4 linked regions of the Mus musculus genome follow. The protein of the gene in region 1 interacts with the protein of each later gene in a biochemical or structural test. Links are inferred from orthologs where the notes say so. Each region holds a gene or a part of one and is shown in the gene's direction. Other genes may lie near its edges. The genes, in order: Cul2, Dcun1d3, Dcun1d5 and Dcun1d4.

Region 1 (7,474 bases):
TATGAGTATTTTCTTGATTTTCCTCCACCACCACTACATAGAAAGCAGCAACAACATCTGTCTTCTTTTGGGGAGTATGGCACAGCAGCTGGTAAGTGAGTTTGTGTGTTTGGATTCAAGTGGCAGATGGCTTTTATCCGCATACTGTACATTTAAGTTGTACATTTAAAAGCATGTATTACATAATAAGGTTCTTTGGGAAGTTAATAAACTTTTTCCTCTCAGACATGGCAAATATGTACGTCTTACTCCGTGCTGTGTCCAGTGGTTTACCTCATATGATTGAGGAGCTGCAGAAACATATCCATGACGAGGGCCTCAGAGCGACCAGTAACCTTACTCAGGAACATGTGAGTTGCACAGGGGAGCTAGAATGCTTCCTCTTAGGGGGATGTATATAGGGTTTGTGGGTTTTTTTTTTTTTAACTTTGATGGGCTATAAAATAATTTGTCATGAAAAACTAGGGCACCTGTATTCTAATATTTTAAATCTTGAATTTACTGAGCTTTTCTTGGAATTAAAACCATTGATCAGCCTCTTCCTCACAGTACTGATTGCCACGTAGCATTTGTTAACCTTCTGACAGGAAACTATTTGCAGTGTGTACACAATCATGTTGCTTTGTACATGGGGGATTTTTAAAGCCTCCTCTGCCTCTATGCTTGCCGTTCAAAATGCCACAGTGAAATACCCTCACCTTGCCTGACCTTCATTTATCTGAAATGGCCTTTGCTACTTAGTGACCATGTATTTGTTGCTGTTGTTACTAGGCATGTTCATAGTTTATTGCTAGGTTTGCAGATTCCAAGTATTGAGTGACATTGAACAAAAACTTAATTCTACCCAACTAACTCCAGGACCTCATTCTGAGGCACACACAGGCTTTCTCGTCCTTCTCAGAATTCATCCTAGTGTAGTTGGGCCTGGGATTTAGGGATCCCCCTGTGACCCAGCATAGTAGTATGTGTGCCTTTACATGGCAGAGGACCTGTCAGGCTGTTGTTGAATGGCAGTCCCATTTGATAGATAAAGAGAAGTCTTAAACTTTTAAGACCAATGTAACCAGAGATATGGAGTTGGGGATATGGAGGAGTATAAGTATAATTTGAGTATATAAGTATAAAAAAAATAAACTATATTCTTTATTCAAGTTTTGTTCTTGAAAATCTTAAAATGTGAATTTATACTTTGTATTTTGTTTTTAGATGCCAACACTATTTGTGGAATCAGTTTTGGAAGTACATGGTAAATTCGTTCAACTTATCAACACTGTTTTGAATGGTGATCAGCATTTTATGAGTGCTTTAGATAAGGTAACTTTAAAACAAATAACCCATGCATGTGATCTGTACATGGGATTTTCTTTAACCTGTGATGTGGTTTTCAGTTGGGCATCTTTGCTAGGCAGTCAAGTTTGAGAACCTTGAGCACTGAAATGTACATTAAATAACTAGTTTAAATTTGGGAATCTTAAATTTTAAAGTGGTAAAATGAACTTATAGTGTCTTATGTCAGTCTTTCTGAGTTATTAGTGACCTGGTGTGCATAATTCTAATTTTCTTTAGTTCTGGTCCTTTGTTAGAGCCCCGGCAGTGGCAGGACTATATTTCTGTTTAACCTATACCACATTTAGACTGTATTCATTCTTGGTTTGAAAGACACCATGAATTTGAATTGATATTTGACATAAGAAATTGACTCTTGATTTGTGAGATAGTCATCTTCCTGCTAATTTAACAGAACAGAGCTAAGCAGAAGGAATTCTTTTAACTCAGGGTTTCACAAGTTTCTGCCTAACTAATTATGTTGCTTTGGGCTTCTCATAGTACATGAAGATGTTCACCTAATGGTGACAGAAAGTAGCACAGAAAGAAGGAAAAGAAGCCCCACATCCCTGGGCCGCCAATATCCCTTTTAACACATGGCCTTGAGAGTTGCTGGGGATAGCTCAACCTCCAGTACCCATGTCAAAACAATGGTGTGATAGTGTAATCTAGTGCTGGAGAAGGCTGGGATCATGGGGCTTGCTGTCCAGCTAGCTTACACCCTAAGTCTCATGACAGACTCTGAAGATTTTGAAGAACAATAGCTAAGGTAGACCTTGCCTTCATTTATGTTTATACTTCTTTATGTGAACACCTATACATTACATACAGAGATAGAAAGAGAGATAGCTAAACTGTGGGTATTATAGACATAGATCAGATCCACAGCCACCACTTTTGCCTCCTTCTGGTAACTAATCACTGGGCTGTTTTCTCGTTTAGGCCCTTACATCTGTTGTAAATTACAGAGAACCCAAGTCTGTTTGCAAAGCGCCTGAACTGGTAAGTTTAGTTGCTTGAAGGTAATCTCATGTGAAGTTGTAAAGGGAAGTTACTAGAATGGCAAATTAATTTGTGTACTCATTTTCAGAATATGAAAATTGTCCGCATTATATATATATTTAAATTTACGTTCAGAATGCATTAAACAATGTTCCTTTTTTTAACCAAAGGAGAAAATATTTCATAAAGATGATAATCCTGTTAAAAAGGCATGCATACTATTCATTATCTGATTAGGTTTTTTTCTTAGTTCTAGTGTCTTATGTTTTTAAAACTTAGCTGATCACGCATGTTTTACATTCATAATATTAAAGTATAACTTTAGGATGTAACAGCTTTCAACATCTGTTGAGCCACTTTTGCTTTGCTTTTGTCCCATCGATGGTAACCGTTTACCGGCTTGTTTTCATGTTTATGCTCTTACATCTGTTCTAAGTGACAAACCTATGAGGCTTTGTGTTGCCGCCTTTGAAGTGTCTGTCCAAAGGGCCTTTGTAAGATGTATTATTACTTTCTCTTTGAGCTTGCTAAGTACTGTGACAACTTGCTAAAGAAGTCAGCGAAGGGGATGACTGAAAATGAAGTGGAGGACAAGCTCACTAGCTTCATCACAGTTTTCAAGTACATTGATGACAAGGACGTCTTTCAGAAGGTGAGCTGAACAGCATTCAGATCAGAGTTACCAGCTTCACTCTGTTTTGAATTTCAAGTCACAACAAAAGTAACCATTCCCATTTTCCTGCAGTTCTATGCAAGAATGCTAGCAAAACGTCTAATTCACGGGTTGTCTATGTCTATGGATTCTGAAGAAGCCATGATCAATAAATTAAAGGTACCATAAATCTTTAGTGTGATAGATAATATCATAGAAATCTTGTACCAACAGCCAAGTATGCTCATTATATGTAATGACTGTATACTTCAGCAGTCATTGATGTGTATACATACAGCAGGCTGTGTAAGTGGTCAGGCATGAGTGTATTTGTGTACAGTGTTGGGTGTCAGTATGAGATTCAAAGGGGCAGAGGTTTCCAGTGATTTAAGATGATCTTTAAGTTCAGTATTGATAACAAAAAAAAAAAAACAAAAACTACAACTAAAATAAAATAAAACCCTCTGGTCTCCTAATTGATCCCTGGCTGGTCATTCTCAGTTTAGGTTATATTCTTTGCAACTTGTTTTCCAGCAAGCCTGTGGTTATGAGTTTACCAGCAAGCTGCATCGAATGTATACAGACATGAGTGTCAGCGCTGATTTGAACAATAAGTTCAACAATTTCATCAGAAACCAAGACACCGTGATTGACTTGGGGATTAGTTTCCAAATATATGTTCTTCAGGTATGATAGTATTTTTCTTTTTTAGATTTATGAATCATTTTGACAATGTAATATAGAAGGTTAGCAAATGATGCCTGATAACGTCTAGTCAGCTTTTGAGCTGTGGACCACATTTTACAGACTTGGAATAAAATGGGCCATAGCACTGTCAGAATTCCAAGAAAGAGAAAAGGTGTCTCAGCAGCTCACCATTGAAATGGGTTTTTTGGGGTAGATATCTGTTGAACGTTTTATCTCACTGTTCCTTTTTAGGCTGGTGCGTGGCCTCTCACTCAGGCTCCTTCATCTACATTTGCAATTCCCCAAGAGCTAGAGAAAAGTGTACAGATGGTAAGTGTTCTGGGAAGCAAACAGTAAACAAAGGCATGGTAGTGATGCTCTGTGTGTGTGATTGTGTGTGTGTAGTATGTGTGTGTGTGTGTAGTGATGCTCTGTGTGTGTGTAGTGTGTGTGTGTGTAGTGATGCTTTGTGTGTGTGTGTGATGTGTGTGTGTGTGTAGTGATGCTTTGTGTGTGTGTGTGATGTGTGTGTGTGATGTGTGTGTGTGTGTGTGGTGTGTGTGTGTGTGTGTGTGTGTGTGTGTGTGTGTGTGTGTGTGATGTGTGTGTTTCAGTTTGGGGTTTATTTGTAATACACAGGAACCTCATCAGCTCTTAGTAAGCACCTGTAGTTCATAGGATGTGGTATTTTATGTAAGTTTAGGGATAATGGCAATGGATGGCTCAGTTGGGTAATGGCACTTGCTTGGTGAAGCCTGACAAACTGGATTCAATCTTCACACCCCTCGAGATTGATGGAGAGAGTCAGCTCCCATGAGTCGTCCTTTCACGCTCATGTGTGGCCCTAGCATGAACAACATACCACCATTCCAAATACATAGTTAAGTAAATAAATGTGTATTATTTTAGAAAAAAAGAGAAAGCTTCAAATCTTTCTACTTTCCCATTTGAACTTTGAAGCCATTTTTAGGCTTCATTTAGTTCTGGTAATATTTTAATTTTCCTGTAATTGAGACAAGTGTTAGGTATAGACTGAGATATGAAAGCATAATATGTGAAAGCTGCATTTTGAAGTGATTCTAAAGTGGGACAGAAATCCTAGAAGACTAAAGACTGACCTGTCTGAGGTTGTCTGAGAGTCTGCATATGCACATAAATGGGCAAATACATAAATACATTTTTTAAAGTAAAACTAAGTCTGTCACTCACGAAGAAACTTTGGGTTCTACCCCAACACAAATGTAATTAGGACTAATGTCTTTTATACATCCAGTCCAGCCAAGGAATTTTTTTTAATTCCTAAGCTTTGATAAAAATAAATTTTAAGGAAGTTTTTTCAACATTTATTTATTATGTATACAACATTCTGCCTGCCTGTATACTTGCAGGCCAGAAGAGGGCACCAGATCTCATTATAGATGGTTATGAGCCACCATATGGTTGCTAGGAATTGAACTCAGGAACTCAGAAGTCAGATGAGGTTGTGGGATCCCCTGGAACTGGAGTTGTGAGCAATCTATAAGCCATTTCTTATGGGTTCTGTGATCCAAAATGTCATTTGCAATTGGAGTATGCATTGTTAAGTACTGACTCTTTAGACTCTTGTTCATGCAATTATAAAGTTAAATGTACTAATATCAGCAAAAGGGCAGTAGATAGACACCTTGAACCCTAAAACTTTGTTCATGTGATTGTTTACACAATTGTTATATCATAGACCCCACTTTGTATTAACTACACATGTACATGGGCTAGCCTGTCATTTATGGGAAACTACGTGCTGGTAAATGTGAGTATGGTTTTCATGTTGAAACGTATGTGATGGTATATTTGGTCTTTAAACAAAATATATTAATATAAGGTTAATGTATTAATACAGATTAATATTGCCATTGATATTATTTCTGATTTTATACAAAGAAGTAAAATTAGCAGGTGTTGATTTGGGAATGGGATAGGACTGAGGCTCAGAGGCTGAGGTGGGGTGAGGTGACTGCAGCTCAAACATGAGGACTGTGAGGATGTGAGTTTAGATTCTAGTGCCCAGTGCTGTGCACAGTGAAAATGCAAGGACACCAGGGATTCATGACTGGCCAGTATAGCCCAGAGAGCAAGCTCCAGATTCAATGAAGCCCTCTTTCGAAATAATGTAAAGAAATGCTTGAGGATGGCATGCCCGTGTTGTTAACTTTACCCTTTACATACATACACACAAAAATAACATGGAATAAATAACATACTGACATGTCATAGCAACTTAAGCTGTAGAAGAGAAATATTTCAGAGCCGTGTCTGCCCTGCATGGCAGTTGAGTGCCCAAGTTACTCTGCCTGCCCCTTTTTAGTGCTGTTTCCCAGCATAGCCTCAGACTCCTGGATTGAAGTGAGCCTGTGTCAGCTTTGCATGTCTCTGGGACTATGAGTGTGCACTTGGGTAGAGTGCTCTATGTGCAAGAACCAGAGCAAGCAAGCTGCTGCAGACTCAGCAGAGGAACCACAATGGTGCCAGCACACCCACATAGCCGGGGGCTAGTCACGATCTGCACAGAGGTTCTGAACAAGGTTTTCACTAGGTGGGTTAAGATGCTTTTACCTTTACAGTATCATAATAAAGAAGTTTCAGGACCTTCAAATAGCTTGACATCTCTCTCTTTCAACAGTTTGAATTGTTTTATAGCCAGCATTTCAGTGGACGGAAGCTGACATGGTTGCATTATCTCTGTACAGGTAAAGAATGATTCCTTACTGCTCATTGAATGATATTTATGTGATTGTATTCCTTTAGAGTGTTAATTCCTGTGTTAATTCTACTTTTTAATGCACTTTCTTCCATCTCCCTTTCTGGTATCATTAAGGAACTTTATAATGCTGATAATAATATTCACTTTAAGAATTTCTTTGAGTTTTATAATGACAATACATTTTTGCAGCCATTCATTTTATACATAGTAGACAGTTTAGAAAAGCAGACTGATGGGTAAGATATTTTCGAATACCTGTTATCCAAAGTTTCCTTAGCACTGCCTACCGATTTCTAGTTAAAGTCCTCTAAGAATGCCTTCCTTCTTAGTTCCCTGGAGATGGTCAGCCAAAGCAAAAGCACATATTCTTCGTAGGCTTCAGGAAGGGCTGTGGGTGAGCACCCACAGTCCAGCTCACAGCTGGGCTATAACTCCACTTGCAGGGGATCTGACACCCTCTTCAGGCCTACTCAGGGACCAGGCACATATGTCATATAGATATGCATGCAAGCAAAATGCCCACACATGTAAAATTATAAACAACAAAAAAGAAATGACATAAGGAAGTGGATCCTGGTGCTGTGACCTTTATTAAGAACCCTGTTTTTAACCTTTGAAAGGCTGATCTCAGTACCAGTGTCATTTGCTTTGTATGACTGGCTTGCATCTTACATTGTAATTTCTTAGTAGTACTGCATTGATTGTGCAAGTTTATTGAATAAATTGAGTGTTCTGATTTTCTTCCTACATGTGAAATATGTTTGATGTTTACTTTTTTATCTTAAATTTCAAGCCTGTGTGTGTGAGTGAGTGTGTAGAAATTGCTTTTTTTTTTTCTTCCACAGTGTGGTTACACAGGGTTGAACTTAAGCCATCAGCCTTAGAGGATACACATAGAGTTCCCAACTGTCTCTCTTTGTCCTTTGTTTCTTCCATTCAGTTCTGGTTTTGCCACCTCTCTCTCCCACCAGTTCTGCTTTAGCTTTCCTGTTGCTAATTATCTAAATTCACTGCTTAAACTCTGACAAAGTTGTAATGGGTCAACTGTTACTATATACTACATACTC
Region 2 (7,474 bases), on another chromosome or scaffold:
CATCACTACGCCTGGCCTATTGTTATAATTTTTAAATTATTATTATTGGTGAGTGTGTGTATATGTGTGCACACAGACAGTATGATGTTCTTTGTAGTGGCTGATGGTTAAGATTTGATATTCTAAGGTTGCTGTATCTGTTCCTCACCTCAAGGCCCATTCCTCAGTGTATTGTCCCATGATGCTTTGACAGATGTGGGTTCAGTTATACAGGTCATGGTTTCTTGAACTAAACATTCCAGGTTCTGTTTGTTCTGTGATGTTGCATAAGTTTACTACATGCAGAGCCTCAGTTTTCCTGTCTTTAAATGGGGTTATGGTGAGGAGGGCACGTGTGCTAGTGTTCTTAAAGTGCTTAGTTAGCATAGAGTTTGGCCCTGTATCAAATGCCCAGTAATTGATGGTTGCTGTTGTTAGCTAACAGCCAGTGAGACTTTGAAAGACTGAAGGCTCTGCCAGAAGGGGAAATAAACAAGCAACCAAGGAGCAGTGCCCACTAGCAAAGAACATACTGACTTCTGACTTGAGACCACTGCTCAACCCCACCAGAATGGGAACCTTTTAAAGAAAGGAGCCATGATGGGAGAAAGCTGACCTTCTGTCATTGTGTGATTGATCATCTGTCCACATTGATTTTCCTCTTTCTCATCTGCTGAGCATGTTAAAAGCCTTCAGGTTTCAACTGGTTCCGCTGTATCAGGTCATCAAAAGATGCTTTTACATGGAGGCACAGCAGAGTAAATGAGATTTGGGCCTCTATGGGAGCCCCATCTGTTCTGCTCTTACCTGCAGGCCTTGGCGCCAGGCTTTGGAGGGAGCTGCTGTACAGAAGCATCTGTCCAGTGGGGGTGGGGTGAGCAGCCTGGGTAGGTGGGTCAGATGCAGGGCAGGAAATCCTCTTACCTCACCCGGGTGCTGGGCCTCCTGCAGCAGGATCTGAGCAGCAAACACTGGTGAGTCAGCCAGCCTGGGAATTAGAGTTGCCAGTCTGTGAGCATGTGGGGTTTGTGTAAGTTTGGGCCTTTTGTTTCTTTCAGCAATCCAGTCTTTAGAAACACAAATCTGGAAACCAGACCCTCCACATGCTGCAGTCTTTCTTGTTTAGAGAGAATTCTGCTCGAACAATTCTTCTCCAAGAATTAACCCTTTGCCTTTTGAGATTTGAATTGGTTTCACTTATGGCTTACTACATGCTCAGCGTATAACAGCCTGTGAGAAGCCATGCTTGGGTCTGTCACTTTTCACAGCGAAAGCACTTTTAAGAGTTTCTTTGTGTGTCTTGTTTTGGCTTAAGCAAATTGAAACTGCCTTTCTTTTGAGGGCATGTGTAGACATGTCTTTTGTTTCTGAGGGTGGAGAATAGGACACACCCTTATAGGAGTCTGCCTAACTACAGGAATGATTGTGGTTCTTTTTAGATGACTATACTCTCTGCTTCCTTTTAGAGAGAATTCCCTTTGAAGATAACTCCAGTTTATCCAGGCACTGTTTGGTGGAAGCTGTTTATTTTTTTATTTGTTTTTGTTTATTCAGCTTTTCTTAACAACTGCCCTTTGCCCTATCACCAGACTCTTAAGTGAGCTCTGACTTTGCACCCTGAAGAATCATGAAGGCTCCTTAGAAGTGAGAGGCCCAAGTCTGGCTGACACTGATTTTTATCTAGTGTCTGCTTTCTTTGCTACATTCTACATACTAACAGACAGTGGCTGCTATTGTTCTAACACTTAGCAGAAGTTTGCAAGTATTAAATCATAAATGGATTTTCTATTATAACAAAATAGTTGATGGTTAATAACAACTCATAAGTATGCAGTATTGAAAATTGCTTCTGCTTTTGTTCACACATTTTTAGCAGTTCATATAAAAACTTAGTTAAAATAGATATTGCTCAGTGTCAGTGTAGCCTTTTGATCCAGCAGTTTTATCTCTTAGAGATTGTATTGGGTGTGGAGACACACCTAGGTTGGGAAAGTACCTGGAGTACAGGCTCTATGTAGGTGGGTGGAACAGGGTGGAGCTAGGACGGTACACCTTTGTGCATCCAGAGATCCAGGCACACTGCACTTTGCTGTTTGTCTAGGCCCCTGCTTGTAGTTTTGACACTTCTTACTTCACCATTAGACCATTATGCGATTACAGGTGGCCTGGATATGGCCTCATCTCTATTCTACTAGAATCCAGCTTGACAGAGTACAGGTGAGGGGTTACTGTCAGGAGCATGAGTAACCCTAAAATAGCTACAGCATCTTGTTACTGAAGACTTGATGGAGGTTTCCTCATGGAGTCCTGCTTTCAGTTAATTTTCCACGCGTAGTGCAGGGTCTGTAAGGGGGCGGGGAGGGATGCTTGTGGTGAGGTGAGGTTCCTTTAACTCTCCTTGCTTCCATCCTTTACCATTATCAGAGACTCTGCTACCTCTGTATTGTTCTGCTCAATTAGTTGCCATGGCTACCAGGCCAAGGTCATTTACCCTCTAAGGTGTTCCTTATGTTGTGCTGAGAGTAAAAGTTTGTAGCAATCTTTGTTGAAATCTGAATGTGTAGGTATTAGGTATAGAACCAGATGTAAACTTGTGGCTTAACTCAGGTCCAGATAACTGGTTTTTTGGTCTGTTTTTTTTTTGTTGTTGTTGTTTTGTTTTGTTGTGGTTTTTCGAGACAGGGTTTCTCTGTATAGCTTTGGCTGTCCTGAAACTCACTCTGTAGACCAGACACAAGGGTAAGCATCCCACAGAGCTGACTTACAGGAGAGGTAATGGTGAGCTGGGATAGGGTTCTCTCCCCTGTCTCATTGTTAGCTCAGTGAAATAGAGTGTTAACTATTTTGTAATTTCCTTCCAGGTTGCCTGGCTCCTCTAACTGATGGCATGTTGAAGTACATGGGCCAGTGGCAGCGAGGGCATTTGATCCAGAGGGGTCCACTCTAGAGGCCAGGGTACTACCACCATGGGCCAGTGTGTCACCAAGTGCAAGAATCCTTCATCAACCTTGGGCAGCAAGAATGGAGACCGGGACCCCAGCAACAAGTCACACAGCAGGCGGGGGGCTAGCCACCGTGAGGAACAGGTGCCACCTTGTGGCAAACCAGCTGGGGATATTCTTGTCAATGGGACCAAGAAAGCAGAGGCTGCCACTGAGGCCTGCCAGCTGCCAACTTCTTCTGGAGATGCTGGGAGGGAGTCCAAGACCAATGCTGAGGAGTCTTCTTTGCAGAGGTTGGAAGAACTATTCAGGCGCTACAAGGATGAGCGGGAGGATGCAATTTTGGAGGAAGGCATGGAGCGCTTTTGCAATGACCTATGTGTTGATCCTACAGAATTTCGAGTGCTGCTCTTGGCCTGGAAGTTCCAGGCTGCTACCATGTGCAAATTCACCAGGTTAGTCACAGATGCTTTCATGTCACCAGGGGAGCAGAGGAGGAAAGTGTGACACTGGATAGTGGTACCAACTAGGATAGAACTGGGATGGCTTCAGTTATCAAGTAGCAGTTGCATAATTTGTCAAAGTTATGTATCCATATTGGGGTTGTTTGTTTGTGTATAAGAATATGTCAGGGTCATGGAAGACCATGGTTTTAAGAGTGCAGGGTTATGAATAAGAACTGACTTTATTTTATTTTTTTAAGACAAGGTCTCACTATATAGCCCTAGTGGCCAGGAACTGGATATGTAGAACAAGGTGGCCTCAGACTTCAGGTTCTGCCTCCCTGCCTCTTGAGTGCTGGGATTAAAGGAGTGAATGACTATACCTGGCCTGGCAGAAGGAACTTTAAAACACAGCTAATATATATGACCTGCTCAGTAGAGTAGTTGCCTCACCACCACAGTCCCTGAGATAATTAGTATGAAACTCTGTTACAAACTGCAAAGTGCTGAATACATGTTAAAAAGCACATATGCAGCTGGATGTGGTGATACCTGTCTGTAATCCCAACCCCCAGGAGGCTGAGACATAGGGGTAGAAAATTCAAGGTTAGTATGAGCTACATAGTGAGGTCCTATCTTATAAAACAACAGAAACAAACAAAAACAGTAAAAAAAAATTTTTTACTACAGTTTTGGTAGTAGTATGTAATATGTTAATGTGCATGTATACGTGCATATGTGTCATGCTTTAAATGTGAAGGGGCCAGAAGACAACTTGAGGGATTTGGCTTTCTTTACCATGTATGCTCTTGAGATCAAAATTAGGTTATCATTCTTGGTGGCAAGTATATTTACCTGCTGAGCCATCTTGCCATGCCCCAGAAGGCACAGTTATTGTTGTTGGGTTTTTTCTCCATTTTATTTTATTTTATTTTATTTTATTTTATTTTATGTATATAGGTGTCTTGCCCACATTGTATATTTCTTAGGTGCATGCCTGGTATCCTCAGAGGCAAAATAAAAGTGTGTTAAACCCCTGGAACTGGATTTATAGGCTGCTATGAGTTGCCATGTAGGTTGGGAGAATTAAACTGGGCCCTATCTATCTAGCCACCCATCTAACCACCCACCCACCCATCTATTCTCGAGGCAAGGTCTGACTCTACAGCCTTAGCTGACCTTAGTAGACAAGGCTGGCCTAGAACTCGAGATCCTGTCTCTGCCTTCTGAGGGCTGCAGGTTGGGAGGATTAGTTGCTGTTAACTGTGCTGTCTTGCCTCATCATATACTAAATCACTTTTACTTATTAATCATACCTTTTCCTACCTGTCACAGGAAGGAGTTTTTTGATGGCTGTAAAGCAATAAGTGCAGACAGCATTGATGGGATCTGTGCACGGTTCCCTAGCCTCTTAACAGAAGCCAAACAAGAAGATAAATTCAAGGATCTCTACCGGTTTACATTTCAGTTTGGCCTGGACTCTGAAGAAGGGCAGCGGTCACTGCATCGTGAAATAGCCATTGCCCTATGGAAACTAGTATTTACACAGAACAATCCTCCAGTATTGGACCAGTGGCTAAATTTCCTAACAGAGAACCCTTCGGGAATCAAGGGCATCTCCCGGGACACTTGGAACATGTTTCTTAACTTCACTCAGGTGATTGGCCCCGACCTCAGCAACTACAGTGAAGATGAGGCCTGGCCGAGTCTCTTTGATACCTTTGTGGAGTGGGAAATGGAGAGAAGGAAAAGAGAAGTGGAAGGGAGAGGTACACTCAGCTCAGGGCAAGAGGGCTTGTGTCCAGAAGAGCAGACTTAGCCGCTCTGTTCCAGGAGCAGCACTGAGGATCTGCCTGCTGCCCTGCAGCCAAATGAGGAATTGGACCTTTCTGGAAATTACTGAAGATCCGGATATTTTCTACTTTACACCTTTCTCTGCCTTGTATTTGAAAGGGCTCTAAAATGCTGTATCATGTTTTAGGCACTTTCTTCATTTTTTTTTTTTTTTGTTATTTTGGTTATTTCTTTTTTGGGGGTGGGAAATCCCCCAAAATATTTGAACCTGGCTACATGTTGTGTACCTTTTTTTGAAGCCTTCAGATAGAATAAGCCTGCCATTTCTTGCACAACTTGATAGGATTTGTTTTGTGGGGGAGGGGAGGGTGTAGCCCGGGTTGGGAGTGGGTTGTTAGGTTGAATTAACATTACAAAATGATGCAGTGCCAGACCTCAGTTTTGCATATTATTTTTCAGGGCAGGTCTGTACTGTGTGTAGTGCTGTTTACATGGTTGAATTTAGGTTGTAATAATTATTTTAAAAGATTTACACAGATATGAATATAGCAGTGTTAACTGTTAGCCACATTGCATTAATTTCCAGACAGTTTGGAGCTCTTGGAGAGCCAAGGCCAAGGCCAGTCAAGAGCATTTGCAGTCTGACACCCCACCCCGTCCCTTTAAGCTAATTTATCCAAAGCCCTGTCTCCCTCACTTCTTGCTCATTCCTTCTTTGACCTATTGCATTTCATATTTAACTTACCCATCATCATGCTGTACCTGTCAGTCAAGTGAGCAGTTTTGTTTTGTTTTGTTAGAACACATTGTACTGAAAACCACTTAAGCATTGAATGCAGAGAAAGCAGTGCTACCTCAGTTTTGCTGGAAGTAGACTTCTTTGATAGTTTTCTTTGATGTTTTTGTATTTTCATGTCATAAGTGGAAATACTTCTTTTTCTCCCCTTTTCATTTGCCTTGGAGCCAAAGTTTCCGTTCTGGGTGGTGAGAAAAGTGTGCCTGCCAGCCGACCTGAAAGAAAGCGGTGGCATGGAGCTCTGCTTCAAACTGTTTTTTCTCTAGTTTTGTTGAGTATCATTAGCTTACTTGTCTGGCAAGTGCAGAAGCCTGAGGCTGGCCTGAACTCTGCCAAACAAATTATCCACGTGTATTGAATCATTAAATTGTGTGCCCTCTCCCTCTTTGCTGCGCCCACGTTGTCACTTAACCCCTAGGAATTATTTATTGTCTTTTTGTTAATGTCAAGCTCGGTTGGGGTAACGTGGTGACTGTTTAGGTTTACATGACCCTCTTCTCTTTCCCTTACCCCAGACATGTATATATACATATATAAGATATGTATATATTTTACCTTTATAAAATATATATATATACACATATATGTATCTATATCCCTTTGTTTGTCTGCTAAAACTGGCCATGAAAGAGGGAGCTGCCTTCAATCTGTAGTTTAAGAAGATGCCAGGGAGCATCATAAACGGAGGCTATTGTATATTAATTTAGACTTTTTCACTAAAAAGAACATGAATGAATTTGCTTGCCGAAGGAGGAACCAGTTCTCTAGACTCCATGCTCACTCTACAAGGCCAGCTTTGGTCAAGCTGCCACTGGGGCCTGAAGAGCTGACTCTGTCCTACCTTATTCCACTAAAGTACCATCTTGATAATTTCCCCTTAAAAAATATTCTCAAAAATGTACTGGAAAGTGGGTGGCAGGAGCTTGTACAGTTCAGCTTCCAACATTTCGGAACAGATTTAAAAGGGAATCTTTTAATAAATAAAAGTTACAAAAATATTTATACTCTTGATACAATGAAAAAGTGTCTATTAAATATTTGGAATTTCCTCCCTTGATTAGTCTACCCCAAATCCTGGGTACATGTTTCTCAACCTGGGTAAGAATTGCATGCTTTGAGTTCTTCATGAGTCTTATAGCTCTAGGCACTTATCTTTATAAAAATGATTATTTAAGGAGATGACAGTCATATTTCTTAAAGTCGGTATTGACACAGGGAACATTTTTGTAAGCCTCACAATTGTCCTTCCTTGAGGGATGAGATGATGAATATCAGCCACAGACTTACGATAGTGCTGGAAGGCCCAAGTGGCTGTTGGGCCAGATGTACCCCTTTTTTTTCTAGCCAGAATAAGATGAAATCCTTGAGTAAGAATCCAGGAGCCCAGTAGTTTCTGAGGGCACAGCTACATTATAACATTTGGTTAAGATCTCATCTAGCCAGTTAGTTGTTCCTAATTCAGGATTAGGTAGAAATCTAATGAGGGAAGAGGTGGAGTTAGGTAAGACTTTCTGTCCCAG
Region 3 (8,274 bases), on another chromosome or scaffold:
CATTGTTGATGGCTTCCATAAGCTGCATCCCTGGAGCTCCTGAACAACTTGCACACAGCCCCTGGAAGTCTTCTGATTACCTGCCTTGTAAGTTTCTCGTTAGCTTTCCTCCTCCCTCCTTGAAAGAAAAAACAAACAAACAAAAAAAAAAACCAAAAAACCCACAGCAACACAACATGGTCTCCCAAAGTATCATTGGCTGGCTTTAAGCTTCAGTCTCCCTTCTTCACTTCCCAAGAACTGGGATGACAGACTCCACAGCTGTTTTAGAAGCCATTGAGAGGAAAGGGTGAGAAATTGTAGACTTGTGAGAAACTACAACTGAACTTGGAAATTTCCATCTGGCACATTGTCAGTTTAAGAAGCAAACAGTTATTATGTAGTTCTTTCCTCTGAATTGAAACACTTCCTCCTCTGAGGAAGAGTGAGAGTTACAAGCCCCAGGAAGCCCAGGAAATTTACCACTCACAAGCCTCTCCCAGGCTACATAGGGAACCCGACGCTGCTGGGGTGAGGTGGCTCTTGCCTACAAGGAAAGCAGCTGTGGAACAGTCCTTTCGGTCACCTATGTTCTATAAGTGACTTCAATAAACCCTTTGGCTCATTAAGCTAGACTTGGGTGGAACTGTGTCTTTGATCTGTCATTGGTGTCCAACCTGGGGTGAATGAAGTCATATACCACCACTCCTGAGTTTTTTCCTTATTGTCCCTTTAAATCTGTTCTATGAACACATTTTTCTCAACACCTTGAGCAAAATTCAGTAAAATATCATATTGCAGCAGTGCTGCTCTCTGCTTGGTTCTATATAATACATTTCTTTACTAGGGACTTCAGGTAGTCTCAGGACTTGAACAGGAATGATATATCAATTCAGGAAAGAACCTTTAACCACTAGCACAGGATTCACTGTTATCATTTCATAGGTATCATTGTGATGATGACACTCAATGTCAGTCTGCCCCACAGAAATCCAGTCACAAGGCCAATACAATGGCTGTGGTCCAGTACACTGCTATAGGATGAGTAGAACAAGGAGCAGGTGTTACCTAGTGTGTATCTCTGTATTGCTCTTCAATATTAGTTCCTGAGTGCTGTCTTGAAATGTCAAAAACAAAGTCCTGATTTGACAACTAATTCTCTGGGTTTATGGTTATGGAAATAACTCATAAAATTTTGACTTACAGTGTTTGAAAAAACAACAGTAACTTTTGGAAAGGAAAACAAATGGATTCAGTACAACAATCACATGGGCAACCCATAAATTCTTTTGTGCCTCCAGTGCTTGCTTATTTTTGACAAGTGTAGAAAAGTCCTATTTTTAAAGCTGTAAGGAAAAATATAAACTATACTGAATATGAATATATATATATATATATATATATATATATATATATACTTAGCACATCTCTGGGACTATTTTTGGCTACATTAATTCAGATATAACTATTTTAAAAGTTCTGTTTTCCATTTCTTCATTCTACAATCCTTAAACCTAAGAAATATGCAAATCATCAAACTGTCAAATGAATAGACCTGTTTCAGCCTTGTGTGCTTAATCTGTTTATGTTGTGCCACTCTACTAACAGACGGCTAAAATGCATTTTTAAGATTTTTCTTCATAAAGTTGATGAGTACCTTAGGATCTAAACCAGAATACCCTTTTGTTTTAATACTACTTCCTTTCCTTTCCTTCTTGTGACTTAGTCAAAGAAAATTAGACCACATAACAAAGAACTCAGCACCCTCATAGCTTCTCATTATTTACTATATAGAAAATCAAGAACTATCACGAGCAGCAGAAAAAATTAAATCACATAACTAGGTGCTTTTCTGTACACAGACATAATGTCCCTTCCCAAGTCTCACAACCTGAGTTCCACCTCAAGAGTGACAAGATTGATGGAGAAAATGAACTTTCAAGTTGTCATCCCAGCACTGGCACACAAGTGCCCCCACAATAAATACATATATAAAACAAACAAACAAAAAAAAAACCCTTCATCTTTCAGTTGTCTACTTCCTGTAGGGAGTTCTGTTTTAGAGCTTACATTTTATAATTTTCATGTAAAAACAATGTTTCGTGCATTGTTTATAATAGAGTCGAATGGGTTATAGGTTTGAACATTATGTTCACTGTTAAAAAAACATTAACTATATGCACCAAACATTGAAGTGTCCTCTCTCAGGAAACTTGTGAATTCCAGGGCATATTATGTATCCAGGACTCATTACAACAACCGGTTTTTTTCTTTCTCCTTGACTAGATTAGGGTCCCACGATGCAGTCACAGAACCACAGGGATAGAATTTAAAGAAACAGTCTTCTGTCACAGTTGGGTTACAAACATGGACTTCATTCACTAAGAATCTTCTATGAGATAATTTTACCTAGCAAACCTTTCTTATAAGCAGTATTTCCATTAGAAGTGACGTGATTACTGTTTCTTGAGAGCAGCCCATTAGAACAGTTCCCCAAATCCTCTGTAATAAGTCAGTCCGTTTCCCAGTCTCTTATCCAAGAGGAGAGTTCCTCAGAAGTAAAACATGGAGGCGTTGCCTCAGCACAGGAGGAAGCCATAAACTGACCCTGAGCATGAGGGAGAAAAGGACAAGGAGCGCGAGAAGTTGATCTCAGGCCCACCAAGAACACCCGAAAAAACTGGAGCGGTTGCACGTCAGGAGTGGGCACACTCACGCATGGCTCCTCACCAGATTACTTCGCTCGCCAGCTGTGGAGCGTTTATGATTTCTAGAAAGGACTTCCCGCTGGAAACCCGCCAGAAAATCTCCGGAGATTCAGGCTCCACCTGCAGAGACAAAAAATCCCAAAGTAGAGAGACCGCTCCAGGCCCTGCGAGCTTCCTTTCTACGTCACTTCCGGTCCAGAGCCATCCGCTTCCGGGTCAGGCTAAGCCGCCTGCTCTTCGCTGCTACTGTAGGTGCCGCGCTGTCGGCGTTCGCTGCTCCTGGAAAAGCCCGAGCCGCGACACCGCCGGCCTTAGCGCTGCGCTGCCCGGAACCGCCCCTAAAGAGGAGACCCGGGGCGGGGTCGCGCCTCGGGCCTCCGCTGCGGTCCCCGGCAGGCGGGAGCCGGCGCTGCGGGGCCTGCGGCGGAGCGCGATACCCCTCCCCGGCCGCCCTGTCTACCTTGCCGGGGAAGGCGGAAGATGCCAGTGAAGAAGAAGAGAAAAGCTCCCGGAGTGGCAGCGGCGGTCGCGGAAGACGCGGGCCTCAAAAAGTGTAAAATCCCCAGGTACTGCCTGTCCCCACCCCGCTGGCTCTCTCCTTCCCCCGGGGCCGGACAGGCCGCTAGCCGGGAGGAGAGGGGCGAGCCCTCTCAGGCGAGGCGGTCGGTGAGGCGCCCAGTCTCCGCTCCGCGCGGGACCGAACCGCGTGTTCGCCTGTACGTGCTCTCTGTCGTACTTGGACAAGCTCTGAGATTCGTCCCACTTTGTTGTCTGCGTGCCCAGAGGGTAGGAAACAGACGACCGTACGTATGCATTCTCCATCAAATTTCCCAACCGAGAAGTGAGCGCGGATCTGCCAAGATTCACGGCGTCCTTGTGTCACACTAAATCGAGCAGAATTGGCTTGGTCCCCACATTGTTAAATGTCAGAGTGTGAAAAAAGGAGCAGAGCTTGAAGAGTTTTGACAGCTGCCTTGGGAATGATGGAAAGAAAGCCTTTGCTATAATTGGTCTCCCGAGTTAGCATTTAAAGTGGCCTAACCTGGACGATCCCAGCAGGAGGCCTTTTAAATCGCTGGAGCCTAGGCTTCTGGACGCACCAATGCCTCCACTTCACCTGTACCAGTTCCGTACACTTAATTGGAAAAGGCCCTTGTGGTTTTTGTTTTCTGGCATTAAGACGCTGGTAGCTCTCAACCTCCTTTTAGGCGTTAGCAAGCTATTGTGCTCCATGTTCTCTTAGGGGAAAAGAAAACAAAGCAGAACTGTAAGTTAGAGCCCTTTACTCGCTTTGTGGCATATACTCAATCATCACAGATTCATTCCTCAGAAAGTCATTGCGATTTAGCTTTGAGAAGTGGGCTTCTTCCCATACACTTTGAGTTGTTTTTGTATTAATGGTCGACACTTAAAGTGACAAATACTACCATTACAACAAGACAGCCTGGAACAACAATATCAACTAATCAGTACCCCCAGAACCTATGTCTCTAACTGCATAGGTAGCAGAAGATGGCGTAGTTGGCCATCACTGGAAAGAGAGGCCCTTTGGTCTAACAAACTTTATATGCCTTAGTACAGGTAAAGCCAGGGCCAAGAAGTGGGAGTGTGTGGGTTGGGGAGCAGGCCTGGGGGGGGGGGGGTATAGGGGACTTTTGGGATAGCATTTGAAATGTAAATGAAGAAAATATCTAATTAAAAAAAAAAGACAGGCTGCACTAGACAAAGGAGATTTCCCTTTAAGGAGAGATGCAGTGAAGAATGGACTGCTTAAACTATGAAGGTGACTTGCTTCATCCTAATCTTTTTTGTAATTGATTGCTTTGTTCTTCTCCCCTTGTTGTGTTTTAGCAAAAGAGTCTAGGTAATATTTTTTGGGTGATGTATAAAATAGAGTTTTCATTATGCCCTTTGGCATACATTTTTCTTAACTGTATTAGCTCTTGGAGAATCATATCTAAGATATTTAAATTAAGTCAGTTAAAACAGCTGGCTGAGCAGTATCATTTGACTTCAGGTGATTCAGCCTAAATTATAACAGGGATTTTAATCCACATCAGTAGCAGAATGGAAGTAAGGCTTCAGGCCTTCCATAAGGTATGTAACTTAGTGGTAGAGAGCAAGCCCAGCATGAGCAGTCTAGGGAGAGCTGTCTAGCCTAGTCTTGGGTTGAGACTTAGAATGTACTTCTTTATTATCTTGAAATCTAAGGAAATAATTTTAGTTTCTAGTTATGGAATCCTGTAGCAAGCAAAGAAGCATTTAGATTTCATTGGTTAGAAATTCTTACACATAGAGTACAGGTCCTTATTGCTAATACATAGCTCCTTTCCTCATAATGCTAACTTAAAAACCATTTGTCTCATTTACATGGAAGCAATTCTTGTTGAAGCTACTTTATCACTAAGCGTTGAGTCGTAGTAAGTCTTAGGCATTTGTGTGTTTTCTAAGCTATTGCAGATCCCAGCCTCCTGCTAGACTCATCAGTGGAGAGGAAGATTTTTCAAGAAAGAAGTGCCTGGCTTGGTTTTATGAGTATGCAGGTAATGAAATTCATGGAGCAAGATACCAGTCATGCCCATTTAAAAGCTGTGTTTTATTATTGCTGACCTGTTATGTGTACTGGGATTAGTGTCAAGGCTAAAGGCTTAGAATTTAGTGCCATGAACATGTCTGACAACTTTTTTCTCTCTTACCTGCTTTCCTACTTTTATTTTTTTTCTTCTTTTATCATTATTATTCTCAAAAGTATTTGCTTAAAGCTAAAACACGTAGTAATAGTCGTCTTATATTTGTACTAGCCATGTTATAGTTTTAAGTGGTGCCATCTTGTCAAGTTTCAGCTAACTGTACGGAAGGCTAGACTAGGATGTAAAGGGGGCAACAACTTTGCTATTGGGATCAGCAGAGTGATCTTTCTAGATCAGGGGAAATAAATGCTATTACTGGTATCCCAAGACAACCACTAACCCAAATTAAATGTAGAGAATTCTTTTTTTTTTTCTGACCTCTATTTAAAATGTTGACCCATTATTAAAAATGACAGTTTTTCATATACATTATATCGAATCAAGAGGTTTTCATCTTATTTCACTTTATAAATGTTACTAGATACCATAAAGATAGTCATTTTGTATGTGTGTGTGTATATATATATATCTTTTCCCCTTGAATGCTTGATTGTATTAGCTCTTATTAGAACTTCTCTGGATATTTTAAGATTGAGTTAAATATTTATTTTCTACTCTTAACATTTTTAACAGTAAAGGTAATAATTGCTATCATTGTTCCATGGATTGTGATAAGTATATCATTTTCCCTGTAACCATCTGTCAAGAGATGTTATCCTCATTTTATGAGTGAAAACTGAAGCTTAGATTAACATGCTAGAAATGATACATTGACTATACAAATGTTAACTGATTGTCACTTCTACTGAAAGTACACTTGAGGTTATCTTCTGTCATTTAGTGAGTCATTTGGTGAATATTTATGGAACACTTTTGTGTGACTCCAACACTGTTCTAATACTTGGGACATAATAATAACAAAAATCAGAGCATGATCCCTGACTTCAGATGTGGTTCCTGTGGAGACCACTGTAAACAGCATGTGTATAGGCAAGGAAATTATAGCTTGTGAAGGCTCATATGGGTAATATGTGGAAGTACTAGAAATTTAGACACAGGAAGTGTCTTTTGGACAATGTTGGAATTTGAATATTTTTTCAAGACATTTTTGTAGTGATAAATTTATGTCATATTTCATATCGTGACATTTGTTTTAGGTGATTTCTAAGCAGTGAGTAGGTGATTTAAAAGCAGTACAATTACTCTATTTTTGGAATCTGATAGCAAATGTTTAGGAATTGCACTGACTTTTAGTGATCTGGTTTAAAGAAAAACAATACATCAACCTTCATGTGCTTATAGCATTAATTGTCAGAAACTTTATTCAGTAGGTTTTTGGTTTTGTTAATGAGTAAGTTCATGTTGGTTCAGTTTTTGTTCTTTTTGCAAACTACTGAATTATACCAGTGGAATAGGTTTTTTGTAATCCTTTTTAAAATATTTCCTTAATACAATGGCTGTGGTAGCTCACACTTTTAATCCCAGCACTCAAAAGCAGAAGCAAATGAATTTCTGTAAATTTCAGGCCAGCAAAGGCTACATAGTAAGAAGATTGCACCCCCCCCAAAAAAAAAAGAAACAAAAAAAAGAAAGAAATCATTAATTAATATTGTATTATAGCATTTAAGGAGTAAAGATTTTTAAGATTTTGGCAAATATTTATACTTTTCAAAGCTGCCCTAAAACTCAAATTCACTTATTTGTAAAAGTATTATATTTTCATGGATGCCTTTAGTGTAATAGTTTATTTTATGTTCATAATAGTAATAAAATATATAAATTACTTTTTGTCTTTGAAGGTCCTGATGAAGTTGTAGGGCCAGAAGGAATGGAAAAATTTTGTGAAGACATTGGTGTTGAACCTGAAAACGTATGTTTTATTTCTAAGTAGAATGAACTATAAGCGGATTATAATATTTCATTAATTTTAAAAATTAAGGCTTTAATATATGAAGTTTTTTCTTCACATCTACTTATTTTTTTAAATCAGCCTAAATAGTTCAAGGTGTTTCTTGATACAAATACAGTTTGTAATAGAGTAATGGTCTACCTTCATTAACACTGTCTTAAGGCAGTTGTTTTGTAGTTAACAATACAGAAGCTGTAGAGTTTAGTGGACAGTTGGAAATAATTGTTTGAAATTGTTCTCCATTATGACTGTAGCCATGATTGTCTCTGATGACTTTTCCTATCCCTTATGTTCTGTTCTTTCCAGATTATTATGTTAGTTTTAGCATGGAAATTGGAGGCTGAAAGCATGGGATTTTTTACCAAGGAAGAATGGTTAAAGGGAATGACCTCATTACAGTAAGAACATTTTTTTTAAAAAACAAATTTGGTGGCTTTTGTAAAGATCTTGTTGCTATTTTGTGCTTCATCATTTTCAAGTGTAATATTTTACCTTAAAAATAATCAAAGTGGTTTGATTTGTAAAAATCAGTTTGGAGACTTGAAAAATTATATTCTAATTTTGACAATTGAATAATTAATTGCCTTTTTCATATTCTTTAAGAAAAAATTCAAACTGACTAAAATGTGTTGGTTCATTTGAATAAGAATAAGAAAATGGTTGGGTGAATAAGAAATGATTAAAGCATTATTTGTTCATGAGTTTTTTCCCACTCAATGCAGAATTCCACTATATGAAGAATTTCATCATTGGACAGCCCAAATCTTAGGACCTCCTCACTCTGCTTTGTAATAAATTTAAAGATAGAGTTACAGGTGCTTCAATTAACCATCTCCTCCTAATTACTCACAAAGAACCAAAATAGAAATGTCCTTTGGCTCCTATGCAGTCTTCAGCCAGTTTATAGACGTGTGTGTTCAGATTAAGGTATCATGCCTGAATCTTTCATACATTTCAGAATTACTTCATTTTGAAGATAATTCACTATGCTTTTCAATACTAATGTGTACTAATTTTATAGTAGGTCATTTTCATAATGTTCATTCAG
Region 4 (8,141 bases), on another chromosome or scaffold:
GATTTATCATTTACTTTTATTGTGTGTTTGTGTGTGCCTATGTGTATGTGGATGCAGGTGCCCGGGAGGGGCTGAGAATCCCCCGAGCTGAGATAAAAGGCTGGTGTATGCTGTTTGACATGGATGCTAGGAACTGAACGTCAGTTCTCTGCCAAAGGAATGCTCTCTCTTAACCACTGAGACTCTTCTTCAGATTCCCGTTTTGAGGTTATATTACAGATACAGGGGTGGCTAATAAGAAAACAGAAGCACCATTAAAGTGCCCACCCCTCACGACAGCGTTTGGGTTTGTGGGTGCATTAAATGCATTTTAGACTCACAGTCTACTAACATCAACTCCACAAAGTTTGAGGAAATTAACTATTCTTCCTCTATGAATACATTTAAATTTCTATTCATTTTTCATTTCCATATCCCGAATACCTCTTTAACCCGTCTTTTGATAAATTGAGGAGTTTCACATGCTCTCTCTGGAATCAAAGGTTACATGAATTCCAACACGCTATGTTTTCCTTTCTTACTTCAAGCCTTACCAGGGACATATTTATCTACTAATCTAAGCAGGTTCAAGCCTATGTAAGTCTCCAGGGCTATGCTGTTTTCAATTCTGTATCCCAAGCCTAGTGTACATGGGACAAGCAGACATACTGTGATTTGTGATATTGGGAGGAAATGTTTAAACCCCCAAACCTGTGCTATTGTCTCTCTCTCACTAGACTTCCATCAAATTCTCAACTAACAAAATAGGTAAGTCAGGCTCCACTGAACACTCCAAGTGATGGCTGGTCCTGATTGTCAGCTTGCCTATATCTGGAATGAACTATATCCAGAAATGGAGGGCACGCCTGTGATCCAGATCTTGAGGCAGGAAGACACAGGCTTTTGGTCTGGATCTTGAGACATAGTGGCCGAGAAAAGCTTAGGCCCAGACAAGGGAGTACATGCTTTTAATCCCAGGAGACAGATGCAAACAGATCTGTGAGTTCAAGATCAGCCCGAGACAGAGCAAGTTCCAACTAAAGAAAACCTTAGGTTCAGGCATGGTGGTAGAGACCTTTAATCTGGAGGCCTACATAAAGACAATGGAAGAAGGAAGCCTTTTTTATTCTCTCTGCCTGCGTGCACTTACTTGCTAGCACATCAGTTGGAACCAACTTCTTCAGGATTCCAGCTTATACAGAAGACCAGCTGAAACACCTAGCCTTGTGGGACTGAACAACTATTAGATTCTTGGACTTTCCATTAAGAGCTGCCCATTGTTAGCTTAGTTGGGCTGCAGACTGCAAGTCATACCAATAATTCTCACTAAAATATAGACATTCCTGTTCTGTGACTCTAGAGAACCCCAATACACTTTGTGACTTGTTCGTATTGTTAATGTTTTAACCATAACCAAGTGCAATGCTATCCCTTCAAATCTGCCCACCCCTGAGTCTCAAGACATTCACTACCCGCTGCCCCCAGATTTAAATATAAAAGATGGTATTTCAGTAAACATCTCTACAGGGGGACCTTGCTATTTGGGAAAGTTATCGAATGAGAAAAAAAATGGAAATAACATTATTTATTGAATGATTCCTTGAAAAGGCCATATTCCAAATATGAAGAATAGAATTTGTATTAGTGTGGTAGAACTTTTAAGGAGTTGGAGAGAGCACTGTCTCAGGAATCTTGGATTTTCTCATTAGACCAGCGTGGTGATGGAGAGTTGTAGACAAGGAGCCAGAAACTCGAGTTTTTAAATACTGCTTTGTCCTTGGGTAGTTCGATAACTTGGATTAGATGCTTAATTCCTTTGAACTCCCGGTCTCATATTCTTATAATGAGGAAGTTGGATTTGGAATCTCTGAGGTTCCTTTCAGATATAAAATTCCCCAATAGTCGTCACCCACTTCACTCTTAGGAACAGTGAATCAGTGTCCACTGTTGGAAGCCACTGCACTGCACTAAGTGCCGGGGGACTGAAAACAGTCATAACAAGTTCCCTGACCATGAAGATTTATACTCTTATGGATGGTTGAAATGTCTGGATGATATTCACAGAGCATCGTTTAGTTGTTTTATTATTCATGAGACTTGTGCAGTAGTGAGGCTCAGCCGACTAAGAAAGAGTACTTCCTCTCAGTTCTCTAGCTCTAGCGGACTGTGATTGGCCCTGACACCTTGCCTCTGACTGTCCTTGGTGGAGGCCACTATTTGGAACCTACACACTATCCCCCTACCCCGATCTGGGTAAATCTGTATTTTACTTGAAACTGGTCAGACTGAACCTAGTGGAAACAGCTGAGAACCAGCATAGGTTAGAATTCTGTTTATTTATTTATTTATTTTTCCTGGATACTATGTGTCAAGGAAGTGCTGAGAGCAGGGAGAAAGCGAACTGGCAGCAGGTCCTTTAGGTTTAATAGTCTCACAACCATAAAGTTTGCTGCAGATAAATCAATATAGCAGATTAATAACTAATATAAATCACGGGCTTATTTTAATTTACAAGTACCAAGAAGTAAACCTCTTTTCTGTGCAAAATAATATGGGAAACAAAACTCAAACACAACAAATATTATACATAAGAAAGTCTCAGAAACACGAATAAACTGTAGTTCTTACTATATTAGGCTGAAATCAGGAACAGAATAATGAACACAAAAAGACTTTGCCCAGAATAAGCACTTAAAAAAATATAGAAGCTCCCAACCCAGGAGCCTACAAGTACCTTCCTTTGTTTATGAGACTTGGCTAAGACTCTGTCCTGTTAAGGAGACCCAAAAGAATGCTCTATGAAGAGTTCTTGTCTTCAGATGCAATTCTGATATTTTGCAATTTGATGAAGTGAATCATATGCATTTGAATGACAAATATGAAAGATTGCGTTATTGGGATTCAATTTAATTACAGAGAAATAGAGGGCGATGAGATGGAACATATCACAGTAACAAACACAGTGATGTAGATAACAAGGACTGTAAGCTGTTTTGCGCTTGTAACATTTGTCCGGATTTCAGAACTCTACAACTCAAGAGCCTGGGCTGTAGAATTCAGAATCCTAACGCAGGACCCCTTTGTTATCTTTGGTCATATCATCCAGTGCGTGTGGCGGAATCTACAGGCTGTCCAGGCTGTGGTTGGGGCAAGCGAGGTTTGGACATGGAGTGTGTGTTTGCGGTGGGGGCGGGGCGCCCACCCTCGCACATCTCAGCGTTATTGCATTACCTGTGATTGTGGAGAACTGGTTTTCAAGTACTGAAAAACTCCAAGAAACAACAAAAGCAGTATTTAGGACACTTAACAATCACAACCCCATTAACGCTTCCCTCTGCTAAACAGCGGTTTGGCCAGGTTCGACTTATGTTTCTTAGACTTTTATAGTCAGGGGACCTGGCTTATCTTGGTGTCAGGCTGACCCCAGAGCCTAATGTGGCACTAGGTTTTTCTCTCGCTGTCTGGGGACCGCAGAGGTGTCTGACGTTCAATGCCTGAAGCATTCGAAACCTTTGGCGCAAGTAACGCATGACTCTGAATAATTGACTCTGAAAAAGAGGCGCATTTCCAAAGTTGAGGACAGAAAGGTTGTGGCATAAAGGGGAGGAAAGCGGAGATATTTTTCTTCTTCTAATTTTCCGCAATGGGAAACGATTGAGGAGAACCGGCGGGACCCGGGCGCGGGCAGTAGCGGGATCTGGCCGATGGCCTCCCAGGGAACACCAGTCCCTGTGGGCTGGAGCTTGGCTCTAGGTCCCTCAGGCTGCTTTGTTTCGGATGCTTAACCCAGGTTCTCGGCTGGGCTCTCGGTTGGTCTCCCGCTCCAGGATCCGCCCGCCACAGGGCGGGGCTTCAGGGTCAAGGTGGACCAATTCCCCAGTCTCGCCCCTCCACGCGCTTTCGGACCCCTGAATGACTGACAGCCGTTGGGTCCAACCTGCGGCTCCGAACAGTGGCCTCCACCAGGGGCGGTCGGAGGCGAGACGCCGGGGCCAATCACGTTGCAGTCTAGGGGGCGGGGCCTCCTTGCCAGCTGCAGGCGGCGCAACCAGCACTTCTTCGGTCAAATGAGAGCCGAAGAGGGGCGGTCCCCCGGCTGGGGTCTAGCCAATGAGAAGGGCGGGATGGGCGGGCCGGAGAAGAAGCCGGCGGTCCTCTGTTGCGAGCTAAGGTTTGGGGAGTCGGTAGGGGGACCGCGAGTGGAGCGCGGGAGCCCGGGCGGCAGGCGGGTGTGAGCTGCCCGAAAATGCACTCGGATGCTGCAGCTGTCAGTGAGTAGCACAGAGCCAGCGGGCCCGCACACCGCGTCCGCTCCTGCGCTCCCTTCTCCACTTCTCCGGTTCCGATCGCGCTGGAGTCCCTGGCCCGGGAGCGGGTTGAACCCCTCCTGGAGTCCGAGGGCCGTGACGCTGCGGGCGGCTGGGGCGGGGGCAGGGGCGGCGGGGAGGGGGTGGGGACTGGCTGGCTTTCCGCGGTTGGGGGAGGGGGGACATTCTGGAAGGCCGGGGGCCGAGAGTCGGTGGTGCACGGAGGTGGAGACGGCGGCGGGCGCTGGCAGCTGGGGTCGGGGGTGGTACGAGCGGGCAGGGAGAGGGCCTGCGGTCCGAGTACAGGGTGAGGCTTGCGGGGCCCGAGCCGTACGGTCTACCGGGGAAGGCGGGGGAGTGCGAGGGGAGAGGGGGCGGGGACAATGGGAAGGAGGGCTGGGGGCGGGGGCGGGAACAATGGGTGGGGAGCTGGGGCAGCGGCCGGGCCGGTGAGGGGATGGGGGGTGATGTAACGGGGGCCATGGAGTGGGAGACGCCGCGGTGGGATGGGAGAGTTGTGGAGTCCGGTGTGCGGGACGGCGGTCGGGAGTGGGGAGAGGGCTTGGGGGGCAGGTGTTGGGACAGGCGGTCCCCGGAGGAGTGGATGGCGGATAGGACTGCTGTGCAGTTTGGGGGCTGGGACAGGGGTCGGGGAGGGTGTGCGGAGTGAGTTAGGAGGAAGAGTAGGTGGGGAGAAGCGGGGACTGGGAGGGCTGTCATCTTCGGGTACGGTGCTCTTGGGGCGGGGTGGGGAGCGTTGGACTGTCCATTGGGGGAGGCGCCTCCTCCCTGGAGAGGCCCGGTTCCAGCCTAGGAGGGGACCACCATTGAGCCTCGGGGTGCACTGAGGAGAGGGGGCGGGGCCGGGTACCCGGGAGGTGTCCCGAGGCTGGCAGTAGCCTCCGCGTTCGGCGAGCAACGGGGAGCGAGGTCAGCGCGGGCTGGGGTTACAGGACCGGGAGGCCGCTGTCTGCGAGCTGACTCGACCCGCAGGGGTCCTGGAAGCGGGGTGGAGGAATTGGCGTAAGAGGTTGTCGGGGTCCCCGGCGGTCCGTAGGTTTGGCAGTGTGTGACGCAGTTCTCTAATTTCTGGCCATCAGGTGTAGAGGCTGATGCGTCAAGACCTGTTACCTTGTACGGAGGGCCGCTTTGGAGGCATAGCAACGCGCGTGCGAGAAGCTACCTCCGCCCGAAGCACCGGGAGGGTGCTTTAGGGGTTTCCTTTAGGGTCTGGCTCCCCGAGCCGGTGTAAAGGGAAAGGCAGTCTCGTGGAATTCTGGGTCTTGTAGTCCCAGCCGCCCTGGGCCGCGGTTGGATTGGGTGCACGTGGGTAACTGTGGAAACGAGTCCCAGAATTCAGCGCGCCCCTTGGACCCTCCTTGCTTGACTAACTCGTGCTTTATGCCGCGGAGACTCAATGCATTCTCTCCCGGGAGATGCCTGGGTTCCTTGGGACAGTGTCCACCGCAGAGGGAAAGCCCAGGCCAAGCCCTGGCCTTTCTCCAAGATAATTTACCCCTGCATCTGCCTTGGGGAGCGAAAGCTTAGTCTCAAATCATCCTGCACACGTTCGTTTTAAAGCAACGTTTACCATGGAACATTTAGAGCGTGTTCATTGTATGGACGTCTAGAGTGAAGTATATAGCCTTACATAAGTATGGAAACTAAGTAGAGATTCGTAATATCCCTTGTGAAGAAAATACAGATAACTGCACTGGGTATTTCTTGGGCTACTTGGTTTGTCCAAGAGTTAGGGGATTTTTCTTTTGGAAGCGAATCAAGAATGGCAGCTTAGTGGAATTTGGGGTTGAAGTAGTCTCATGCCAGAACCTGCAATGAAATCCTAAAGGTGAGCAAAGGGGAACTGTGATGTCTTAACTTTTATGTAAGTGAAGCGAATGAGGCTGTAAAGTCCTTCCCTTTGGACTATTACAGGTCTTCCTAGTTTGTGGGCATCCTTTGCCAGTTCTCCTTGGTGATCACCCTAAATCAAATGTAGGGACTATAAGATTATTTTTGTGTGGTGTAATGGATACTATGAAACATCCATAATCGCAATGGTTATTGGAGGGGTGTTTTAATAACCCAGCGGTAAACATATTGAGGGCGAGTTTTAATATTTGGAAACGACTTGACACAGTTAAGACAGTACTAAACTTGTCTATGTGTTTGATAATGTTTTTTTAAATTTATTTTTACTATTTTAAGTATATATATATATATATATATATATGTGTGTGTGTGTGTGTGTGTGTGTGTGTATGTGTACATGCATATAGATGCAATGGAGAGCAGATGTGTGTGTGTGTGTGTGTGTATGTGTACATGCATATAGATGCAATGGAGAGCAGATGAAGGGTCCCCTAGAACTGGTGCTTGTGAGCTACTCAACTGAGAGCTAGGAATGGAACTCAGATCCTCTGCAAGAGCAATAAGCACTCCTAATTCTCCAGACCTTACAGGATGGCTTTTGAAATAAGGTCTGAGAAACTTGTGAGAATATGTTTTAGGGAAACAATTTATATCTATCCTGTTTTGACTTACACCTGCAGTAAAATCTCTAAGAACTGTCTTGTATAGAGTATGGACATTTTCCAACAAAGTATTTAATCCAGGATTTGCTGTTGCCGAGTGATTGTGGTGGGGTGGGGTGGGGGGGAGCATGTGCTCTTTAGATCTTCAAGATCTAAAGAAAACATCAGTCTGCATTTCTTCTCCTTTCATTTGTTCTCATCACATCCCGAAGAACAAGTGCCCTTCCTCACACAGTCCTCCAGCTAGTCCATAAGCCCCAAAGCCCTAGGCACTGTCAGCCTGTACTACTCGTCTTTCGACCTTTGCATTTTGGCCCTTGGCTAGGTCTTATATTTTCTTGTGGATTTAGCTATGCATTTAAATAGTTCAGAAAGTTTTATTGAAGATTTTTGACTCTGTATTGGAAGGATTTGGTAGGGGTAGTTGTATAAAGGTCCTCTCAGTATCAACTTATAGAATGAATCTGTCTCTATATGTATGTATATATGTATAGATACATATAAATCTTACATATGTATGTGTATATATGTGTATACACACATACATACATACATACATGGGACTTATACATACACACATATATACATAAGCTGTAGTCTAGCTAATACAACAATGGCTGTCTTATGTATGGAAGGTCCAAGAATCCAGTAATTGTTCAGGCTAGATGCTTCAGCTGGTATGTACTGGAATCCTGAAGAAGTAGGCTCTAATGCCAGTGAAGGAATGGACTTGGTATTGAGGCAAGAGCAAGCAGGCAAAGAACAAAAGCTTCCTTCTTCCATGTCCTTATATTAGGATTCCAGCAGAAGGCTTGGCCTAAATTAGAGGTGTGTCTTCCCACCTCAAAGGTCCAGAATAGAAGTGGATCTTCCCACTTAAAATTAAGCAAAAATCACTCCCCAGTGTGCCACTCAGTTTGGGGGTTTTAGTTAATTCCAGATGTAGTCAAGTTGACAACCGTATAGTCATCACAGTCTTGTCTGTAACTGCCAAAGACGAAAGCTCTCTCCTCTTCTTATTGGGGATTTGTATACAGTGACTTTTTTTTATTCTCCACATTGGCTTAGAGAAGGCCCCTACTTAATGCTTGATGGTATCCCTCCTCCCCGTAACTTCCTTCCTTCTTCCTGTTTTGATGTTTGCATTGCTCTCATCTTAATTATCATCATGGTCATCCTTATAAGTGTAGCTATTAATTAATAGCTAGTAATTCTGCTGACATAGGAGCAAAGTGCAGTCTGTCGGTTGAGGACCTGGTACTTAATAGCCTGGTGACTTTGGTAAGTGTTTATTCCCAGGGACATTTAGACTTGAGGTTGT

Evidence for each region.
Region 2: of the proteins of Cul2 (region 1) and Dcun1d3, one has a biochemical effect on the other in vitro, tested with the Homo sapiens proteins (2 studies listed by BioGRID, with this or other methods). The link is inferred for Mus musculus from reciprocal best matches to the Homo sapiens genes CUL2 and DCUN1D3.
Region 3: of the proteins of Cul2 (region 1) and Dcun1d5, one has a biochemical effect on the other in vitro, tested with the Homo sapiens proteins (2 studies listed by BioGRID, with this or other methods). The link is inferred for Mus musculus from reciprocal best matches to the Homo sapiens genes CUL2 and DCUN1D5.
Region 4: of the proteins of Cul2 (region 1) and Dcun1d4, one has a biochemical effect on the other in vitro, tested with the Homo sapiens proteins (2 studies listed by BioGRID, with this or other methods). The link is inferred for Mus musculus from reciprocal best matches to the Homo sapiens genes CUL2 and DCUN1D4.

Annotation. Positions count from the first base shown.
Region 1 is NC_000084.6:3,423,244-3,430,717, forward strand, and holds part of Cul2 (cullin-2), read left to right. Parts: intron 1-225; coding exon 226-350; intron 351-1,206; coding exon 1,207-1,314; intron 1,315-2,268; coding exon 2,269-2,328; intron 2,329-2,851; coding exon 2,852-2,980; intron 2,981-3,073; coding exon 3,074-3,160; intron 3,161-3,514; coding exon 3,515-3,667; intron 3,668-3,919; coding exon 3,920-3,997; intron 3,998-6,326; coding exon 6,327-6,393; intron 6,394-7,474.
Region 2 is NC_000073.6:119,855,282-119,862,755, reverse strand, and holds part of Dcun1d3 (DCN1-like protein 3), read left to right. Parts: intron 1-595; exon of another isoform or gene 596-691; intron 692-786; coding exon of another isoform or gene 787-967; intron 968-2,840; 5' UTR 2,841-2,945; coding exon 2,946-3,376; intron 3,377-4,699; coding exon 4,700-5,183; 3' UTR 5,184-5,862; coding exon of another isoform or gene 5,863-6,169; 3' UTR 6,170-7,474. Other genes in the region: Rexo5 (RNA exonuclease 5), read right to left, coding at 5,863-6,169. UniProt on the Homo sapiens protein: Contributes to the neddylation of all cullins by transferring NEDD8 from N-terminally acetylated NEDD8-conjugating E2s enzyme to different cullin C-terminal domain-RBX complexes and may play a role in the cell cycle progression by regulating the SCF ubiquitin E3 ligase complex, after UV damage.
Region 3 is NC_000075.6:7,181,630-7,189,903, forward strand, and holds the start of Dcun1d5 (DCN1-like protein 5), read left to right. Parts: upstream 1-2,875; 5' UTR 2,876-3,167; coding exon 3,168-3,253; coding exon of another isoform or gene 3,254-3,490; intron 3,491-5,138; coding exon 5,139-5,230; intron 5,231-7,116; coding exon 7,117-7,187; intron 7,188-7,532; coding exon 7,533-7,624; intron 7,625-8,274. UniProt on the Homo sapiens protein: Contributes to the neddylation of all cullins by transferring NEDD8 from N-terminally acetylated NEDD8-conjugating E2s enzyme to different cullin C-terminal domain-RBX complexes which is necessary for the activation of cullin-RING E3 ubiquitin ligases (CRLs).
Region 4 is NC_000071.6:73,486,942-73,495,082, forward strand, and holds the start of Dcun1d4 (DCN1-like protein 4), read left to right. Parts: upstream 1-4,084; 5' UTR 4,085-4,225; coding exon 4,226-4,250; intron 4,251-4,489; exon of another isoform or gene 4,490-4,593; intron 4,594-4,716; exon of another isoform or gene 4,717-4,735; intron 4,736-5,241; exon of another isoform or gene 5,242-6,135; intron 6,136-8,141. UniProt on the Homo sapiens protein: Contributes to the neddylation of all cullins by transferring NEDD8 from N-terminally acetylated NEDD8-conjugating E2s enzyme to different cullin C-terminal domain-RBX complexes which are necessary for the activation of cullin-RING E3 ubiquitin ligases (CRLs).